5 linked regions of the Rattus norvegicus genome follow. The main gene of each other region encodes a partner of the protein of the gene in region 5 in a complex. Links are inferred from orthologs where the notes say so. Each region holds a gene or a part of one and is shown on either strand. Other genes may lie near its edges.

Region 1 (4,313 bases), on a different chromosome or scaffold from region 5:
GCTTGCATCTACCCACCACCTACTGCCTGTGGCCTGGGATACTCGTGAAGCCCAGGGACATGGCGAGGGTCTGTCAGAAGCACATATTGGGTCATCTTGGGGACAGTGGTCCTCTGGAGACCAAGCGGATGAGGCTCTCACCCTAGAGACTGGCGCAGACTGACGCAGGGGTGTCAGAGCCCACATCTCACCATTTAGAACCTCTCTCTTCTAACAGTGAGTCTGGCCTCTGACACTCCCATGGAGCTTCAGGGGTCTGGGGAGGCCTCCAGCATGCACCGAGATGCAGGCCAGGACTCTCTGGAGCTGCACCCACATCTCATTAGGGTCTTGGGACTGGAAGAAGGATGTGTCAGTTGAAGACAGGAGATGCCCTGCTCCATTAAAAACAGAATAGTTTCTCCGGAGAGCTGGGGGACAGCACATTAGGCTGGGTCCCAGGGCTTCCGATCTGCTTGGGTCATGGATGCTGTCTGTTGAAGGTTGAGGCTGCTTCCTTTCCTGTCTCTGTCTGAGGGTTGAATGAAGGCAAGATGGCTCTGGTGTGGGGGGGGGGGGGGCGGGGGCAGTGTCAGCACTTGGAACTGTGGGTCCTTTCTTCTCCGTGGCTCTCAAAGTCACCCGAAGGCTCTGAGTGAATCCTTACTTACCGTCAGCCCTCACTCTCGCTGTGACTATTGCCTGGGTTGTGTCTTTGACCCTGCTGTTGTCTACTGCAAGCCTTCTATGGCTAAGCCCTAGGCTCAACATTAGCTCCATTGGCCGGGAGAAATCCAGAGACAGAGAGGGGATGGCCGAGCTCAGATTTGAAGCCAAGCCTGAATCTGGGCTTGCCTATGACAAGATGGCTCTTAAGGGGTGTATGTGGTGGTGGGGGGAGGGGCTTCTGCTCTGCCGACGTGACAGATTACCAAGGCTAGGCTGGGCAGCGGAGTCCTCAGGGATCTCGGGAGCCCCATCTCCGGAAGCCCCATCTCCACCTAAGGACCACGTCGCTGGCGCCGGCGAGGACACTCGGCCCTCTTTCTTCAGGCGGTAAAGGACTTGGTTGAGGATTTTCTTGGGCACTTGTAACTTCTTCAACAGCTGGTCGATCTGCACAGGACTACCAGCATCACTCAACACCTGCAGGATCTTCTGCTCCAGGTTGTCTCGGGGAGGAACACAGAGAAGAACTGAGTCAAGCCTAGTCCCCGGGGACACCCTGCATCCAAGCTTCCGGGCACAGGAGGGATCTCCGGAGAGACCCTAGAGCAGAGAAGGCACCCGTGACCTGGGCCAAGCAGACAGTAAGCGAGGATACCAGTCGGAGGCGAGGGTGTCAGTCAGGTGAACGCTGGCTCCACAGATAGATGTCTGGAGTGGTAAAGTCATATGCAGCCTGCCCTGTGTACTATGTGGAAGTCAAGCAGGTAGGAACCCTCAGCCCTCAGACGATGGAGCAAGAGGGAGAGGTGTGAAACCAAGTCTGGCCCTGAAGTCCCTCCGTGGTGTCTTGATGTCTCTCCCAGCCCGGCCAGGGACTCCCTTTCTCTCCAGCTCAGCACCCACATCTATGGTGTGGGTGTTCCCAGGTCAGGAGTCCAGCAGATAAGAGAAATGGGTCTCTCCTCCCATGCCTGATAGAGCAGGAGCCCCGGAAAACCCAGCTCAGTTCTTTTACCTGGGCCTTGAAGCCATCTTCCAGATGGCCACCAACTCCAGAAAGCTTGCCCCCAGATCCCTCCACCGGGAGCTTCGATGGGCCTCTGCTAGCCAACCAGCCTCCTCTGTGCCTAACCCCGAGGGTCCCCCAAGTCCCACCTCATGCTCCTTTCAGCAGGTTCGTCTGCTTGTCCGTGTGTCTGCCTTTAACTTTCTTTCTTTCCTCTCCTGACAAAGTCTTACCATATAGCTCAGGCTAGCTTGAAATTCACAGCAATCCTCCTGCTTCAGCCCCAGATCCACCCCCACTGCAGTGCTGGAATTAGAGGACTTAGCATCTCTATTCCTGGGTTGGCTTTGCCTTGCCTTGAGAAACCTTTGCTGGGGAGTGTGTCGTGTAGCAGGCTCCCCTCCCCTCCCCTCCCCCACTGACCCCTAAAGACACACAAGAGAGGCAAAGCCTTCCCCAAAGGGTGGGCTTGAAGGACTGGTTGCAGGGTCTGAAAGCGGGACGTTAGGAAGCAGAAGACTGGAGTTGGTAAGGCTGGACAGGTTAGTAGTGTTAGGAAACTACAGGAGTCAGGCGAGTTTTAGTTCCTGGTCTTCTTTGCCCAGGAAAGAAACTGGCACCTGGCCTGGCCCCTCCCTGATAGCTTATGAGCAGCAACTTCTAGTATGTTTCCAGGTCTGAAATAAGAAAGGATAACCCAGAAGGACCTAGACAAGCAGTAAATTAAATCCTGTCCACAGCATCGCAGCCTCACACAGCCCTGCACCCCGTAGCCTCCCATAGCCCAGAAGCCCCTAGATGGACTACATGATTGCAGCAAGGATTTGACTAGGGCAGGAGAAAAGCTTGACTACAAAATCAAAGTCACATCTTCCTATCAAAGCAAAGTCCTCTCTCGAGATGACAGTTCAGAGCCCCAGGCCTGTCACAGGCCTTGGTGACCTCATCTATGAGGTAAGAGGACATGAAGGATCTGGGGCACAGGATCCCTGAAGCAAGCTGACTTCTCTGTGGTGACCTCAGAGTCCTGCTGCCGTCTGGGCTAAGGAAACAGCCAGGAGCCGTAGAAACTTCACCCAGGACCCAAAGGTGGTGAAGGAAGAGTTTAACTTACCTCCCGTGCCCAGGTCCACAGAAGCCTCCGCCATGCTCCCAGCAGCCGTGGGGCACTTTTAGGGGTGGGGGTGGCAGGTCCCAGCACTGTGGCCAGGCCTGGGGCTCTGAGTCCACAAGAAAGAATGCTTGTTTGGACCTGCAGACACCAGCTGTTACCACCCCGGAAACTAATACCCATCTGGCTGCACCCCTTCCCCGCCCTCTGGCTTTCTGAAGAAACAGAAAATGAAACTTTGGTGTGATTCTCGAATGAAAGAATTGTCAAAATCAGGGTGGATGAGGAAGCTGGAGTTGGACAGACCATGTGACAGAAAAGAGCGGGGTCTTGGCCTCTGGGGTGGGACTGCCCACGGGAAGAGTGAGACCTGAAGAGGACTCTGAAAGCCCTGTGAGGAGGAAGATGGTGATCTAGGAAAAGGCACCCACGGTGCCTCTCCTGCCTGGTCTAGTACTGTCTACCCACATATGTTTTAGAAGAAGAGACAGACTCCTTTCACTTTCATAAATTCTCAGCGGCCCGAGAACAGTTCAGACACCTCTCTGTCCATATTACGGGAGAGGGGGATGGAGACTCACAGAGATGGCCTTGTGTTCACCACTCAGCCCATAATAATCCCTGAATCTGGGTCCCAGCTACAGGGTGGGGGGACCTGTCTGGTGTGCAGGTCCCTGGTGCACAGGGCGGGACAGGAACAGTCAATGGAGACCAGAAGGAGGTGATGTCTGCAAAGCAAGCAGCTGGCAGCAGGTCCCCAGTCAGCTTTACCTCTCGGAGCCTGAAAAGGTCACCAGGCAGGCCACCATCAGGCCAGATCCGCACAGCTTGGGAAAACTTTAACATTTCCAAGTGCTTTTTATGACTTCCAGGGAGGAAAAACAGTGCCTGCAGAACCAGCCAAGGAAAACAGAAACTGCACTGCCTGTGGCACCCAAAATAAATAAGGTGGCTTTTAAACAAGCTCTCAACCTGGCCTGTTGGGGGACATTGCCCCAGTTCCCTAGAGATGTCATTTTGGAGACTGACCACTAGGTGGTGCCTGCTCACCAACCGCCTGTTGCCCAGGGGGTCTTGCTTGATCCCTGGCCAAGGTGGCTTCAGACTTAACCGGGCTTCAGGACATGCCCGCTTTCCTCGCTTCTTTCTTGAGCATCCTTTACAGGTCTTCCCTTCTGTTCCTTACATTAGCAGACCTGGAAGGAGTCAGGGCCTCCTAGGTCAGCGGTTCTCAACTGTCCTAACTCTGCAACCTTTTAATACAGTTCCTCACGCTGTGGTGATTCCCCAGCCATAGGAATTACCTTCGTCAACACTTCCTGACTGGGATTTGGCTACTGTTATGTAACTGTAACGTAATGTAAAGATCTGTGCTTTCCAAGGGTCTTAGGCGACCCCTCTAAAAATGTCCCTCAACCCGCAGAGTACTCTATACATAATATATAAATCTTAAGACTATGAAAGATTTATTTATTGATTGATTTTAGGTATGTGAGGGCTCTATCTGCATATACCCTGCAGGCCAGAAGAGGGCATCAGATCCCATTA
Region 2 (3,241 bases), on a different chromosome or scaffold from region 5:
GACTATGGTGGTCTAGAGAGCCTGGGGCACCTTTGAATTTCCTGAGACACTTTCCTTCACCAGGGCCCCAAAGCCCAGTGTTCAAAATCAAGGAGAAAAAGGGAGCGGTGTGACTCCAACTTCCGTCCTGTCAGTCTAGGCTTAGGGTGGTATTAGCCCTGAGCTCTGGAGGAAATACCCCACCCTGAGATTGGAGTATCACAGAGCCAAGCCTCTGATTTCATCCTGCCACCAGCTGGACCCTGACCCTATGAGCTGAGAGGTCGCCTATATCTCGTTCCCAGATCCCCTTTTCCTGTAGCACCAACTTCCCCTCCACCCTCCAGGGTAGCCAGCTCCTGGCTGTCCATCCCTAATGCCCTGGATTGACACCTCAGACTCACTCATAGTTAACATGTTGTATAGATTGACTTTTCGGAGGTAAGTCAAAAGTCAGTTTGGGTGTAGGTCTAACTGTCTTCAAAGAATGCCGTGAGCTACAGGAAGTGGCAAAAAAAAATGTCTTAGTCAGTTCAGGTTGCTTAGAAAGTGCTTTTATTTTCACTCTATTTATACTGGCTGCCTGAATGGTGTATTTCCTGCTTCAGGCACTTGCAGGTCCTCTCCGAAGTCTACTCGTGGACGTGGACGGGCTACCAGCCCCTACCCCTGCCGAACTGTGCTGGCTCCTTCTTGGGAAAGGCAGTTCTCGGTTGTACTGACATGCAGTTGTGTTGTCCAATCTGCACTTCAGAACAGTTGTTTAAGACAATAGACTGTAGCCCTTTAAGAGGAAAAGGAGGTAGTGGTAGTGAGAGGGTTCAAAAGTTAGAAAGGTTAACGAGCACTTTGGGGCGAGGGGCAGCGACACCTTGTGTTCATCCGGGGGAATGCAAACGTAGGGTCTTCACCTGCTCGCAACTGGGTCTCACTATGAGCAGTGCCTCTTCAGAATTAGTCTTGTAGAAGCTCAAAGGAGTAGTGCTTGCTGTTTGGGTGTCTTTGATGGGAGACTCTCTGGACTGCCTTAGTCATAGAGGAACTGTGGGGGCTCACAGACTTAGTGCTGGGGAAAAGTTAGCAGGTTCCGACTTTGGCTGTGTGACCTCAGTGGGATCCTCTCCTAATGGATGTCAAGTCCCTCATGTATTAAACAGAGGCAGACTGGGTTAGGTGATCTATAGTCATTCCTTTCCAACTCCAGAGTAACTGGAGTCCATAGATGGGTGCTGAGGAAGAAGGTGATGGGAGAGCTGAGCAGGGAGGGCAACAGAGGATGAAGAATGGGTACCTGTCATTGGATTTGGTGCGTTCCAGGTGTACCAAGGATTGCTGTTTCTTCCATCTCCCTGCAAACAACACAGAGTTCTCAGGCTTTCTAAGAGGCTAATCTCATCACCATGAAGTTCTCCTTGCTAAGAGGGCGTGCTCTAGTCTTGCCAATGTCTCACCTGATTCCTTTGGGGGTCAGGACCTGGAGTCTCAGTAAAGGCTGGCCTAGGTGTTGTGCCTCTGGAGGGTAAAGTATGTGGAATTTGGGGAGTGCCAGCCAAGGTGTCAGATGATGTCCCTGCTGGTGTGGCATGCCCAAATGATGCTTCCTTTCCTCTCCTCTCAGTAAGACTTGTGAGTCTTTCAGGAACTGATCCAGAGGGCTCCTCCAGATGCAGGCGGTCCAGCATTTCATAAACTATGGTTTCCCTGGGGCAATCCACCTCTGTACCTTTTTGGCTGGACTCTCTGGCAGACAACTTTGTGTCACTGCTTCTGTACTGAGACAGATAATGCTTTACCTGCGTAGACAGGAGGACCTTGTGCGTCAGGAGCTGGGGCAGCCAGAGTAAGCCCCAGTGAATATTTTCTTGGTCTCTGGAGACTAAGGAGTAGGTTTGGGTGAACAGGAATGAGAGTCAAGGATTAAATAATGGTAGACAGTGGAGATAAACCGGGTGGTTGAGGGAGCCACTGAACAGTTCCGGGGTGGGAAGGCAGTGTTAGAAACTCACCTTGGAGACAGCAGCATCTACCTTGTCCTGTACCAGGATGTAAACATTATTGGTTTTTGATTCACAGTCTGAAAGACAACAGAGTTGTAGATGAGTAGGACTTCTTGGAAAAGCTTCCTGCTGAAGACCCAAACTATCCTAGTGCCAGAGACATGGGTTACTCACCTTGGAAGGATGGCCTGTCTTTAGGCTCAGAACTCCAGCAATGCGTCATTAACTCCTTCAGTCCTTCTAAGCCAGGAGTCTCAGGGCTGTCCGGAGGCAGCTCTGTCAATGGAGGTCGCCTCTGCCTGTTACACACTGCTCCACGAATTAGTGAGGTCTTGTCTACCACTGGAGTCGGGGGTAACAAAAGAATTCATGAAATGAGGAGACACCCCATTCTATCACGGACAGAAGAAGGGAGAGCCATCCAGGCAAGAGGCGAGGTGGGAAGAGGGCAGTCTTAGTAGGTCAGGGAGGGAGGGCTCTAGGGGTTTTAGATGCTTTCGGGCACCTGAGCTAAGAGTCCATTTAGAGTCTTACCCTCAGCTTCTCTTCCAGCCAGCACTGTCCACACGAGGACCCCAAAACTGTACAGACAGAAAGTGGAGGCTTGGATGGCCTCTGGCAAGACTATTTTCCCATATCGTACCCTTTAGAAGGGCCCAAATAGGTATAGAAATGTGGAGTGTATTTGGGGCGGACAGTTTACCTGTAAACATCACTTGCTTTAGAAGCCTTTCCGTCATTATCCAACAGCTCTGGGGCCAAGTAAGCTAGGGTGCCCCCAGAATCTCTCGATCCTGACCCTGACCCTGACTGTGACCCTCCCTGAAATGTGGACAGGCCAAAGTCTGCTAACTGTAAAGGAAAGGAAAAGGAAGGTATTAGATGAAAAGGGCCAGAGATTTTTTTTTCCTCTCTTGCTCCCAGAAGATGCAGCCTCAGCTTTTGGGAGGTGGTATGGAGGAGCAGAGGGAAGATCGAGTCATTGAGACCTTAGCAGGAGATCTGAGTTGCTAATGGGCAGGCAAGCCTGAGATAAGTCAGCCTGGGTCCATGGGGGGTGGGGAGGGCTTTAGGCCCGTGGAACTGACCCAGGAGGGTAAGGAGGACCTCTCATAAGGAGGGTCAGCTGGTCTGACTAGAGGTAGAACTCCTAGGTGGGTCTTGTCACCCGTGTAGCCTTGACAGGCCAAGGGTATTCAACACAGTCCCAAGCCTACACTAGGTTGTAGATGGACTAACCTTGGCGTGGAGCTCTGGATCCAGCA
Region 3 (3,975 bases), on a different chromosome or scaffold from region 5:
CCCAGAAGGCTCGTGTGCTGTGTGCTGTCCAGGGTGCTGTTTTGCTCTCCTCTCATTAATCATTTGACCCTGTTCTTTAATTGCTCATCAGCAATAAATAATCATACCTGCTGTGGTGGGGTAGCCCGACTACGAAGTATCTACCACAACTGGCCCATTCGTATGGGTCTTGGATTACAATCTGGTGGCTTTAGCAGACGCATCCCTCACTCGGGAACCCTCCAGGTAGCAGCTGGATTGTGTTGGTGACATACTGGTCTGGTTTAACCAGATTTCACTGGTTTTGTGAAACACTGTTTTGGTGTGGTTTGACAAAATGTCCCCCGTAGGTTTGAGCACTTAGTCCCTTGCTAGTGGCGGTACCTGGGGGGAGGTTGTGAAAGTGAGTCTCTGGGAGCAGCCTTGAGGTTTTTTATAGCCTGACCATACTTCCTGACCAGCCTTTTAACCCCGCCCCCACCCCGCTTCAGACAAGTTGTTACTCTGTAGCCCAGTTTAAATTGTAGTTCATCACACTGCTCACTCTGAACTCCAAGTATTGGGAAGGAAGTTAGTATGTGGTAAAATGGGATTTTAGTCTTTGTATCTACTTGATGTTCTGGACTCCATAATTCTGCCTCAGCACTGTGGAAAAACATGTTACCATGAATTCCTAGAACACGGCTAGGAGCCAGGATTTCTCCAGTGTGTGTACTTCCGAACGCTTCAACTGCAGGCCCGTGTGACCCTAAGAACAGCCTTATAATATGATCTTGGTGGGGAGACGGGTCCATGAGTTCAGTGCTGAGTTCAGACCATGCCACAAAGTAAAATTTCTCTTTCAGCGTCTCCCTTGACCATCTAACTTCACAGTGTGAACCAGGCAGTTCCGTTCTGTCTCCCTTGCTGGTTTTTTGATTCAGTGCGAAATCACTTTCTTCTTGTAGTTGGCTCCTTTGAACTGTGTGTGTGTGTGTGTGTGTGTGTGTGTGTGTGTGTGTGTGTGTGTGTGTGTGTGTGTGTGTGTGTTTCCAGTGTCTCTGGGCTAGCCTGAACTTACCAGTTCTAATCTTCCTGCCCCTACCTCCCTGAGTGCTGACATTTCTAGAGCTGGTTTACCCATCCAGTCACAAGGTATAGGGTTTCTGTATGCAAGGAGGTGGGGTTAGGGTGGGGGGAATGAGGAAGTGTCCTTAAGAACTGGCGGGCGCTCCTAAGGCGGGCAGAGAGAAGCAGCCTATGCCACCTAGTGATTATCAGAAATTAGTCATTTCTGCTCCTTAGTTCTCTCAGTTGCCTTTCTCCTCCCTCTGACCTCCGGTGTTTTATAGTTCCGCTTCTTTGAATCCATAGTAAACTTTGGCGGACTGGCCAGGGAACAGGAAGTGAGCCCGGCTAGCGGCAGCCGGAGGCGGAGAGCGTCTCCCAGGGGTTGCTCGCCCGAGAGGGGAGCTGTGACTGGCGGGGCAGGGACTCGGCGACAGGTGAGTGCTGCAGAGTAGTCCGGTTCGTTCCTCTCCTACCAGCAGGCCGCGATCCCAACGGTGGCAATCTAGCCTGACGCTCCCCGAAATGCGGCCATCGGAGTACGGTCATCGCCTCCTCCAGAAAACTTTATTCGATTTCTTAGGCTAACTTTCTTTGTAGTCCGGCTCAGGACCTAGAGCCAGGTTAATTATCCGGTGGCATCACTGTGTGTTCTCTGACTTGCGTTGGGTTTCCTCCGGCGATTTTCAGGCTCCTCCCAACTCTTAAGAGACGTCCCCCAACCCTAATCCCAAATCCTCTCTCCCTTTCTACTTCTCCAACATCTCCCCTCCCCTGTTCTCTCCCCTTTCTTCTCTTTGCCTTCCCCTTTCCCTTCCTCCTATTCTCTCATTCTCCCCCACCTCCTTCCCCTCCCCTCCCCCTCTCCCTCCCCTCTCCCTGACCCTTTTCCCTCTAAGATCTGGCCTCGAGCTTCTTGAACTTCTGATCTTTCTGCTTCCACCTCAGGAATGCTGGCAGTGCAAGGGGTGGGAGTGACAGGGTACCAGCTCTGCACTTAAAACCACAAAAACAGCAAGGGGGCTGGGGAGAGGGAGAGCTAGAGGTGGCCTGAGGCCAATAATTCCTCTACATGCTAAGCAGTTATAACAGTGACTGTCATTATGTACCAGTGAGGAATTATCATACTGTCATATTTCTATTTCTTACTATTTTTTAAAGGGAGTCCTTTAAGTGCCTTCTGCTTGGCTAGGTCTCAGTTTCATTCTTTAAAATGTATTTATCTCTATTTTAATTTAATGTCTATGAGTGTTTTGCCTGCATGTATGTATGTGCACTTGGTGTCCAGGGGGACCACAGATCTCTCGAACTGGAGCTACAGACAGTTTCAGTCACCATATGGGTGCTGGAAACTGAACCCAGTTGGTCTGCAAGAGCAGTGAGTGCTCTTAAACTCCTGAGCCTTCTCAACACCAAATCTTTCGTTTTTTTAATAAGCATGGTAGTAATCGAATTAGCATTAGGGTGATTAGCACTCCCCTTTCTCACAAATCCTATTTAAGAAGGCCCAAGCACTCATATGTGGACACGGAAGAGCTGCTGTTCATGGCTGTATGCCTCAGTGTCTCTTCCCCAGTGGGGAGGAATGTGACACCTGGGGTCATTTAGGTGTTATTCGGTTTTGCCTGGTCATTTCTGTTGTGGGTTAAGTCCAGGAACTACCAGGCTTTCTCGCACAGCCTGTACAGCAAGCATGGCCACTTCACTCGATCAGGCTGCTTTTTTTTTTTTTTAATCTTTCAACTTAAAATTCTCTAATAAGAAAGTGTGCATCTTCTTGCTTTATTTACCATTCCTCAGATTTAATGTGGCATCCTATGATCTGTGTGGGCTTAGTGCCCATCGGGGAATTCCGCGTTCATACCCATTGCCTCTTTACAGAGTTTCTTTTCATTGATGATTTTCAGGCTGCTGTTGTATGGTTCAGGTGTTACTGTGAAAGCTTCAGTTGCTACCCTCAGGAAGTTTGTGGTCTTGAACAGGAAATTCTCAGAAGTGAGCCGGAACTGGGGCAGAGGTTTCAGAAGATGCTGGAGTAACTCCGGGAGTGGATTGGGGGCACAAACAGGATTTGATTCTGCTGCTCCAATGTTGCCCAGGTTCCTGGCAGAATCAAATGCCAGCTAAAAGTCCTGATATGGTGGTGTCACCTTTGCCCAGACCTTGAGGGTGGACACGTACTTTCAGGTGACTTATTCAGTTCCCTCAGCTGTAAACTTGGGGCCCTTTACTCGGAAAACTTACCTTCTATTTTATTCTGTGTTAGGTAGCAGAAAACACAGTTTCAAAGTTCTTTTCTCTTTCTTCTCTTTAACACCAGACAGTATTTTAACTAATTCCCAGCAAGCAGCTTATGTGTTTGTACACAGGTTTGTTCACATGGTGAAGGGCCCAGTGTTTGCCTCTTTGGTGAGATGGCTGTAGGAAAACCTTTGATTTTAGGTGGGTGTTTTTGGTGTTGTTGTTTGTTTTTATTTTTGTTTCTAATGGCTGTCAGTGGGAACTATGGAACTAGAAGCAGGGAGAACACTTCTGTGTAACAAGAAGAGTCAGCTGTGGAAGTTGCAGACGCTCGAAGCCCAGGACCCCAGGCCCATCAGAGGTGAAGTACACTGGGGGCCTCTTTTTACTAGTTAATAAAAATTTAGAAATTCATCTCTTTTTCTTTTTTTATATTCTAAAAGCGAGTCAAATGAAAGTTTTTCAGTTATATCCATACGATTTTTTTTAAATCCATGTGTTTTGTTTGTTTGTTTCGGTTTTTTTTTTTTTTAAGATTTATTTATTTTATTTACAGATGGTTGTGAGCCACCATGTGGTTGCTGGGAATTGAACTCAGAACCTCTGGAAGAGCAGTCAGTGCTCTTAACCGCTGAGCCATCTCTCCAGCCCCTCATATGATTTTTCTAAATTTCATAGATAATCAGTTGTAATGTCTCCCCTTTTGCC
Region 4 (4,253 bases), on a different chromosome or scaffold from region 5:
ACTATAGCTGCTAGGACAATCCTGGGTAATAAAAGAGATCTGATTATGCAGAACCCAACCTTTTTATTGTGTTGATATTTAAATCATAGAAAACCAACCACCAGCAAGTGGGTGGGTGCTGTGCCCAGGGCTGTGTTAGCCCCTTAGGCTATGAGCTCCCTGGCAATACAGGAATTACCTCTCATGGAGTTCCCTATGTCTAAAATACCTCTGGTTGAGACCTCACAGCTGAAGGAGAAATTCTGCTGAGGCTTGTCAGGAAAAGGAAACTGAAAACTAGACTTTGTTTGGGCAGAGCCTTAATATATAATTATTTTGCCCCAGCATCAGGGCTTACTTAGGACTCAGCTACAGGGCTAAGACTTGCCAAGTTTCAAAGTGAAAGGAGGCAGTAAGTACTTTCTGTCTCTCAAGACCTGATTTTCATGATTTTCATGTCCTACCACTAATAGTGAACATCTTTGTGAGGTGAATGGTTTGAACTATCAGGATTTACACCAGTCCCCGAATTGAGGACTTAGGCTGCTGCAGAGAGAAAAATCCAGGGAGGTAAGTAAGGTATGTCAGAAATTTTCCGGAAAAAGCTTTAGGACCATTTTGCTAATCAGTAAATTAGGAGGAAAGAGGAGTCATGGGCTTCTGTGGTTAGAAGGAAGGATTATATTCCAGAAAAGAATAAGGCTGCAGGGAGCCTGGTTCTAAACCCTCAGTTGACTGTGGAACACACGTTATCTTTTATTGTACTACAACTGAGACCTTTACAAAAGAAAGTGCATTTGGTTGTGGCAGGAATTAGAACATATTGTTCAGAGGGTTGACCCAGACTGAGCCTAAAAGGAACTCTGATTTTCTGGGTGTGTTGGTCTGTAGGTGTTTTATTGACATGGATTTATATTTAGAAGAGGGTTTTTGGTTTCTAGCTGAAGGGGAAAAGCAACATAGGGGGTAGAGAGCAATTTCTCGATATAAGTTAAGAATAACGGCATGGCAGAAAGCCTATGATGTCACATTAGCTTGAAAGCATGGAGCTTGAAACTCTAAGTAACCTTCCCATCGAAGACATGTCAAGTCAAGCAGATCATGTTATTCCATAATCCCAGATGTTCAAGTGGCCCGGCATTTTTTCAAAAATTATGTATGCTTTTAATCTCCATTTCCTTTACTTTATTAGGTATTAGAAAATTCATTTCGGTCTACTTCCAACTGGATCCCACTTCTTTCCCACTTCCGTAGTGAAATCCCTAGAATTTGGGGGAAAGAGTGTTCCTATGATATCTGCAGAGGTTTGTATACCTGCTGGTGGCTTGGGAAGGTTTTGGGACTTTCACAAAGTAGAACTTACTGGAGAAACCTTATTGGAGGAAGTGGGACACTGAGGGCGGGCTGTGAGAGGTGATAGGCTGTCTCACTTGTAACTCTGCTTCCTGTATGAGAAAGAATTACAACTCGCCTGCCTCCTGTCCTGCCTGCTGCCACGCTTTTCTTACTGGCTACTATGTTTTCCCTGGCCTGAAGAACTCCACCCTCATGGACCTGTAAGTAAAAATAAAATCTACTTCTCCCCTATGCTGCTGATGTTCATTTTATCAAAGCAGAAAAGAAACTAATACAGTAACGACTCTTTGAAAGTCACTGATAACCTTTGTGCCCTTACTGAAAGCGTGGTAGATATTTCTAAGTATGGATCAGAACATAGTTGTTAATTATGTTTTTAAATCTTTTTGCTTTTTATGTTATTTTATTCTTGGCTATTTAAAACTTTAGTTATCGAAGGAACTGTTTTGTAAGTCCCGATCCTCAAGGCACATTTGTCATTTGTTCATGGAGAACTGTCAGACTTTGTTCACAGCTGTTGGCTTTACTCAGTGAGGGGCATACTGTTTAGAACTGTTATATTTGCCTTAGTGACTTTAACATTTAATCATTGTATAGCAACTCTGTCCTTAATGGCACTATTTGTCTTAGAGTCTTCTCTGACTAATATTAATAGAGCTGTTCTAACTAGGGCTTTTGTGCTTAGTGCCTGATACATAGGTCCACATTTCTGCTTCGCGACTCTTCAGCACTTCAGTTTCCCCAATGTATCTTTTGTAAACACCCTAGGAGCCACAGTGGGTTTTAATCCAGTTTAGCATTCCTTTTAAACCTGTGAGTCTAATTCATGTGTGTTCTGTCCATTGAGATATTTGAATCTTGTGTGACCGTCTTATATCCCTTCATATGATGTTTCCTTTTCCATGTCTGTTTTCTTCTTTTTAAACAATTCGCTTAAGATTAGTCTTTATACAGAATGATGCCTACTGTGATAGTCGTGTTTTCAAAAGTACCATTCATACATCTCGCGGGGACATGCCATTTATCATTACCCAGAAAATGATTTCTGATGTGGGTTTTGGGGAAATGCTGTAACGTAGAGTTTACTGCTTCAGGGAGGTGAATGAGCACACAGCATAGCCACTCTGAAGTGGAAGGCCCTGTGTGATTTAGTACATAGACAAGGCTGTATACCTTCCCCTGAATCTAGCTCCAAGATATGAGACTTGCTCTTTCTATTTATCCCCACAACTGTTTAAATATTACCTTCTCAAAGAGACACAGTCACTACCAACTTGAGTTACACCACACAGGCCCAGCCCACGTTCTTAATGAAAACTATGTGCTATACATACTTATACTTGTTTTGGAAATAGTGAAGAAATCTTGTCTGATTCATGACTCACTTCCTCTCAGACTTGTAAGATGCCTGACTGGACAAAATGAGCTGATTTGTGAACAACGGCTGTTGATTTCCTGGTTTATCTCTCAAATGCGTCTCTTTTGCATTTTTTATTTTAAAAAGGAGTTTTGCAAGTTTTTAAGACATACGGGTTGGCTGTTTAATCACAAGTTCATAGGGAGTGTAGCAAAGTTTGGGTCTTTTGGGATACTCCCATGACGCAACTGCATAATCTGTCGTGGGGGCAGCCCGACCTGCAGCAATCATTCTCAGGGGAAGGCATGTTGGTACTGGCACGGCGCTGTGTGGTTTGGAGAGCTCTCTCTGCCATGTTACATATTAAATCCTCATAGTACCATCTCCTGCTGTCCATATTTAACTGATGGCGAATCAACCCCATGAGATAAGTACAAGTTAGGGTCAGAGCCTGATTTATATACTCCTGTCTTGGTACCACCTTTTACTAGGGCATTTTTCTAAGTTAAATCTGGACACCCATCTGTAGTTGTGATTTTTGGAGATTTGTAAGAAGCCGTTCAATCGACATCAAGTAGTGACCTGATATATAGCTGCTCACCACGGGAACAAAGCCTTAGGCATCTGTTGTCCAGAGTCTGGTGGAGTGGATGTTTGTCGTGAGGCTTTTCTAAGAAGAAGAATGCTGTCTGACATTTCAAAGTCTCTTTTAGTTGCTTGCTCTCCCCATAGCATGATAAATATAAACTTCACACTATAATAATAACATATGTTGTGCACACCAGGTGTCAGGTATACCTTATGAATTGCATACTTATGTAATTTAGCCACATCTCACGTGGAGTCTGTGCAGTAGGGACCATCAGACGATTCTTCATCAAAGTACTAGAAAACATCTTTGATCCCATCACAGAGCTAGAAAGTGAAAACATGTAATTCTAACACATGTAGTCTCTGTACCAGGAAAATATCACCCAATAGAAATATAATATAAATAAATACACTTACATTTTCTAGTAGCTACCTTAAAAAACAAAAGCAAAACCCAATAACAGCAGCCCAATATGTTTGATTAAAGTCAAAGTATCCAAAATATTTACTGAGTCTTCAAAACTCTGGCATATATTTTGTTCTCAGAGAACGTAATTTCTGGTGGTAAATTTTCATCTATATTTACATTTATATTTATATATATTTAAAATTCACAAAATTTACAGTTGAAAATGTAGGTTTACATATTCAAGTAATTTTAATCACACTGATTTTTCTAGAAACCAAATTGAGTTTGTTTTTAATTAAAATTAAATATAATATAAAATTCAGTCCTGTCAGCTGCACACATGAAATATTTGAGAACTGCATCTAGTTGTTGTAAGCAGGTTGCTCTGGAATTCAAGCCTGTTTTCTATTTGTTTACTAATTAACTGATTAATTGATTTCTGGTGTGTATGTGTGTGTGACATACATGTGTGTGTCCGTCTGTCCGTTGGTCTGTCTGTCTGCGTATGCATGCCAGAGTTCAGGGTGGGGTATCTTCCTTGATTTGCTCTCCATTTTATTC
Region 5 (3,513 bases):
ATGTACTCCATCACCAGCGAGTAATTCCCCTCCTCTATGATGATGCCCAGTAGCTTCACCACTCGATCGTGTCTCAGTCTGTGCATCATCTTCCCCTCTTCCAAGAGAGCCTCATTGTACCTGTGGGCAGGAGAGCAGCTAGGCTGAGCAGGGCTGAGCAGGGCAGGGCAAACCCTTCTACCCAGGTGCCTAAGAAGCTCCAGTGTCCCTGCAGTGCGAGCCATATTGCAAACATTTGTCACAATCAGGTCTGTTCCGGTCTCCTCCAGGCAGACAGGTCCTAGGGGGGCAGGGAGGCTTCTCTTCATCTAAACCCCTCCCTCCTGCCTTGTCTTAGGAACTGGAAGCCGGGCACTCATGGCAGCAAATCAATTAATGAAAAATTCAGCGCTGGTCTGGCCTGATGGAGACTGAACTGGGAAACACAATAAGACAGGCATCCCTCTCAAACCAGCCTGAGGAGGAGAGAAGCCCTCCACCTTTACAGCCTCTCACAGGGTGGCTGGGATTTCCCATGATGGGACTGGCCTCTTTTTGTACCAGGCTTCAGTGTCTGTATCCACGGCTCTGACTTCTTCTCATGGCCTCCCTTACTATCCAGCTTCCTGTCTTCAGGGATGCCTTTCCCACACATTCCCATCAAGCACTAATATCTTTTTAATTAACTCCAAAGTCCTCATCCAACATAATAATAAGAGTTATGGGCACCCTTCATCAAGCCAGTGTGCCAAGTCTCCCCGCAGGTCAGCCTCATTTAAAACTTTATGTGTTTAGCCACAGAGTTGGAGACAACTACCTTCTGCAGTCAGAAACCCATTTCTGCTCCCGACTCACTCAGCGCGGTTGGGTCCCGTGTATACTTTTTTCAGGATGACAAATCCATGGGTTCTGTGGAAACACAAGGACACCTTCCCGAAGCCTCCGCTGTCCAGGTCTTTCCTCTCCAGCAGGTCATCGGATGCCATTTTAATATTGTCCAAGGACATGTCTGGCTGCATCTTGAACGCTCAGAATCTGCAGCCCACCACCTTTGGTTCTTGCTTAGGGCTGTGTCCTATAAAGCAATCAGAGAGGATATTTCAGGGCAAAAAGACCACGATTTAAAAAACCAAAACCAAAAATACTGCATGTTGTCAGGGATAGCGGTACATGCCTGGAATCCTATTACCCAGGAGGCTGAGTCAGGAGGACTGAAGGTCTGAGGCTAGCTTGTACTCCACAGTGAGTCCCAGACCAGTTAGAACAATACAGGGAGTCCTGTTTCAGAACTCCTCAACTCCCGAAGGACCACATATGTGGAGTGCCTTTGTTTTTCTTGAGGAAAAGTATAATCTGTGACATGAGTTGTTCAGCCAAGAGATATAGAAGACTGATTTTTTTTATTCCAGTGGATGCTTCATTTCTGGCATCATGGAACACTAGAAAAAAATGATAACATTCTGTCAGGAAGCTACGTATGTGTTAGCTAACATGGCTTGAGCATCCACCGAAATTCATAGTTTGGTACAGCGGAAAGGAAAAATTCTACAGACAAAAAGTAGACTGAGCACTGGATAGGGGTAATGACTCATATGGTGGCAATTTTACTATTGTAGCTCTAGGTTAGGAGTGGAGGTGGTCTGCAATACAAGAGGGTTGGAGTGAGGCCCTCCTCATAGTTTGGACCTCCTCAGCTTCTCAGTAGAAAGATGGACTGGGAAAAAAAAAAGCCATCGCTACCAATAAATACATGTGTCTATGACTAGGAATGAGGTTAAAAAAGATTCTCTGTGAATTCATAACCTGAGCCATCTTCAAATAAATTTGGGCTTTGTCTTTTTTTTTTTTTTTTTTTTTTTTTCCGGAGCTGGGGACCGAACCCAGGGCCTTGTGTTTGCTAGGCAAGCGCTCTACCACTGAGCTAAATCCCCAATGCCTTGCACTTTGTCTTTAGGACATTCTCTTTAGGGCAGGAGTGATTTCCCCAAACTAAGAATGCTTATGTAGAAAGAGGTCATAGTCTGATGATATTCTTAGATTTTAATGTTAAAACCAACAAAACAACTTGGAGGCATGTTAGACATAAGTTCCCTTTCCAAAAGTATAAATAACAAAATAAAACATTCCTTATGAGCTAGACTATATGTATATAATAGACAGCAGTAGTAAGCACAGGGTAAGAACATCAGGTAATTAGTATATTGAATAATATTAGGAAATATATATGACACAAGTAATTATGAGCGAAGTTAGGGACTAGAAGAATATAAAAAGAATAATGCTGAACAGTAAGACGTGAAAAAGACGTGATGACTCATGAGATCTGCCTATCTCTGAGGAGTGACATTCAGTGTTCCTCAGGAGGAGAACTTGAAGGAGAGTGCCCTGGTGGGTAGGTAGAGGGCAGCCACAGTGCTAGGATGAATGTCACAGCTGAATTCAACATCTTGGTCACCCATACATAGGAGGTTACTCACTATAAACAGTGTCCATTCAACGCAAGCCAAGTTTATTCCCACTCTGAATGCTGTGAAAAGAAGACAGAAAACCTCAAAGGAAGGAAGGTAAAACACAAGGAAACAGTAGCTTATGGGTTTCAATACATTTTAATGAGTACCTAAAAGGTGAAGAAATGACCAAAGAGAAAATCCAGAAGACCTAAGAAGTATATGAAGAACATGTCTGAGGTGATAGCTTTAAAAGGGGTGAAACTATGATAGTCATCTCCCATGAAGTAAAGACTCTTCCTGAGAGCTCTGTCACCCCCAAAGGAAACTGTTCACAGTGGAAGACATGGCCCCAGTGTGCTTCGCTCTGGTTGAAAACCTAAGACATTTAATAGTATTAAGAAGTACAAAAGCACCGCTATTTAGCAGGCCTGGTTTTGGGAATCCTCTTAACACTGTGTCAAAGGTTTTGGATAATTTAGGTGACAAGTTTTCTGTCATTAGGAACATCTAGGTCTACAAGTTGCAGACACTTTATCTTAGAGTTATTCAAGGAATAGACAATAACTCACAAGCAAAGGTAGGGTGCCTATAGTCTTGTCTAGTGGCTTGCGGCAGAATGCTTGGGTATGTGAATCTTCTACACTCTATAGAGGCTTCCTAGAGGACACCAGCATAACAGCACAGCTGATATCAGAGGGGCACATCAAATGATCTTCTCCATCTCAGGCACTGCCAAGGAAGATGACTAGGAGTGGGGCAGCGGCAAAGAGAGGAGGTGGCCCAGATGAAGGAGTGAAGGCTGAGGAGTAAGGAAGGCACTAGAAGCGTGCTAGCAGGAACCATTAAGGGAGTGCAGAGCAAGGATCTTCCTCTGGAGAGTATGAACTCTTAATTCATTTGCCTCGTGACTTTAAGGAACTTACTTAAGCCTCCATTTCCTCATCTGTGAAAGGAAATAACAGCCCATCTTGGGACTGGCAAGGAATTTTATGAGAAAGTAACATGTGAAAATACATTTGCCTGCTTCATAGTTATAGCTACGGTAAGTCCTGTTGTTAGGTTTATAACACCAGGACTCTGAGAA

The links.
Region 1: Ripk1 (region 5) and Zbp1 share a complex: the UniProt entries of both Homo sapiens proteins name them as parts of the AIM2 PANoptosome complex. The link is inferred for Rattus norvegicus from reciprocal best matches to the Homo sapiens genes RIPK1 and ZBP1.
Region 2: Ripk1 (region 5) and Ripk3 share a complex: the UniProt entries of both Homo sapiens proteins name them as parts of the AIM2 PANoptosome complex. The link is inferred for Rattus norvegicus from reciprocal best matches to the Homo sapiens genes RIPK1 and RIPK3.
Region 3: Ripk1 (region 5) and Casp8 share a complex: the UniProt entries of both Homo sapiens proteins name them as parts of the AIM2 PANoptosome complex. The link is inferred for Rattus norvegicus from reciprocal best matches to the Homo sapiens genes RIPK1 and CASP8.
Region 4: Ripk1 (region 5) and Aim2 share a complex: the UniProt entries of both Homo sapiens proteins name them as parts of the AIM2 PANoptosome complex. The link is inferred for Rattus norvegicus from reciprocal best matches to the Homo sapiens genes RIPK1 and AIM2.

The regions. Positions count from the first base shown.
Region 1 is NC_086021.1:182,419,216-182,423,528, forward strand, and holds the start of Zbp1 (Z-DNA-binding protein 1), read right to left. Parts: upstream 2,803-4,313; coding exon 2,769-2,802; intron 1,152-2,768; coding exon 912-1,151; intron 1-911.
Region 2 is NC_086033.1:33,252,560-33,255,800, forward strand, and holds the end of Ripk3 (receptor-interacting serine/threonine-protein kinase 3), read right to left. Parts: coding exon 3,216-3,241; intron 2,829-3,215; coding exon 2,680-2,828; intron 2,558-2,679; coding exon 2,511-2,557; intron 2,319-2,510; coding exon 2,151-2,318; intron 2,054-2,150; coding exon 1,986-2,053; intron 1,773-1,985; coding exon 1,431-1,772; intron 1,329-1,430; coding exon 1,271-1,328; intron 764-1,270; coding exon 633-763; 3' UTR 512-632; downstream 1-511. UniProt on the Homo sapiens protein: Serine/threonine-protein kinase that activates necroptosis and apoptosis, two parallel forms of cell death. Necroptosis, a programmed cell death process in response to death-inducing TNF-alpha family members, is triggered by RIPK3 following activation by ZBP1.
Region 3 is NC_086027.1:67,756,847-67,760,821, forward strand, and holds the start of Casp8 (caspase-8), read left to right. Parts: upstream 1-1,174; 5' UTR 1,175-1,463; intron 1,464-3,975. UniProt on the Homo sapiens protein: Thiol protease that plays a key role in programmed cell death by acting as a molecular switch for apoptosis, necroptosis and pyroptosis, and is required to prevent tissue damage during embryonic development and adulthood.
Region 4 is NC_086031.1:88,397,180-88,401,432, forward strand, and holds the start of Aim2 (interferon-inducible protein AIM2), read left to right. Parts: upstream 1-1,442; 5' UTR 1,443-1,535; intron 1,536-4,253. UniProt on the Homo sapiens protein: Sensor component of the AIM2 inflammasome, which mediates inflammasome activation in response to the presence of double-stranded DNA (dsDNA) in the cytosol, leading to subsequent pyroptosis.
Region 5 is NC_086035.1:31,070,660-31,074,172, forward strand, and holds part of Ripk1 (receptor-interacting serine/threonine-protein kinase 1), read right to left. Parts: intron 2,507-3,513; exon of another isoform or gene 2,457-2,506; intron 1,419-2,456; exon of another isoform or gene 1,154-1,418; intron 1,055-1,153; 5' UTR 999-1,054; coding exon 835-998; intron 121-834; coding exon 1-120. UniProt on the Homo sapiens protein: Serine-threonine kinase which is a key regulator of TNF-mediated apoptosis, necroptosis and inflammatory pathways.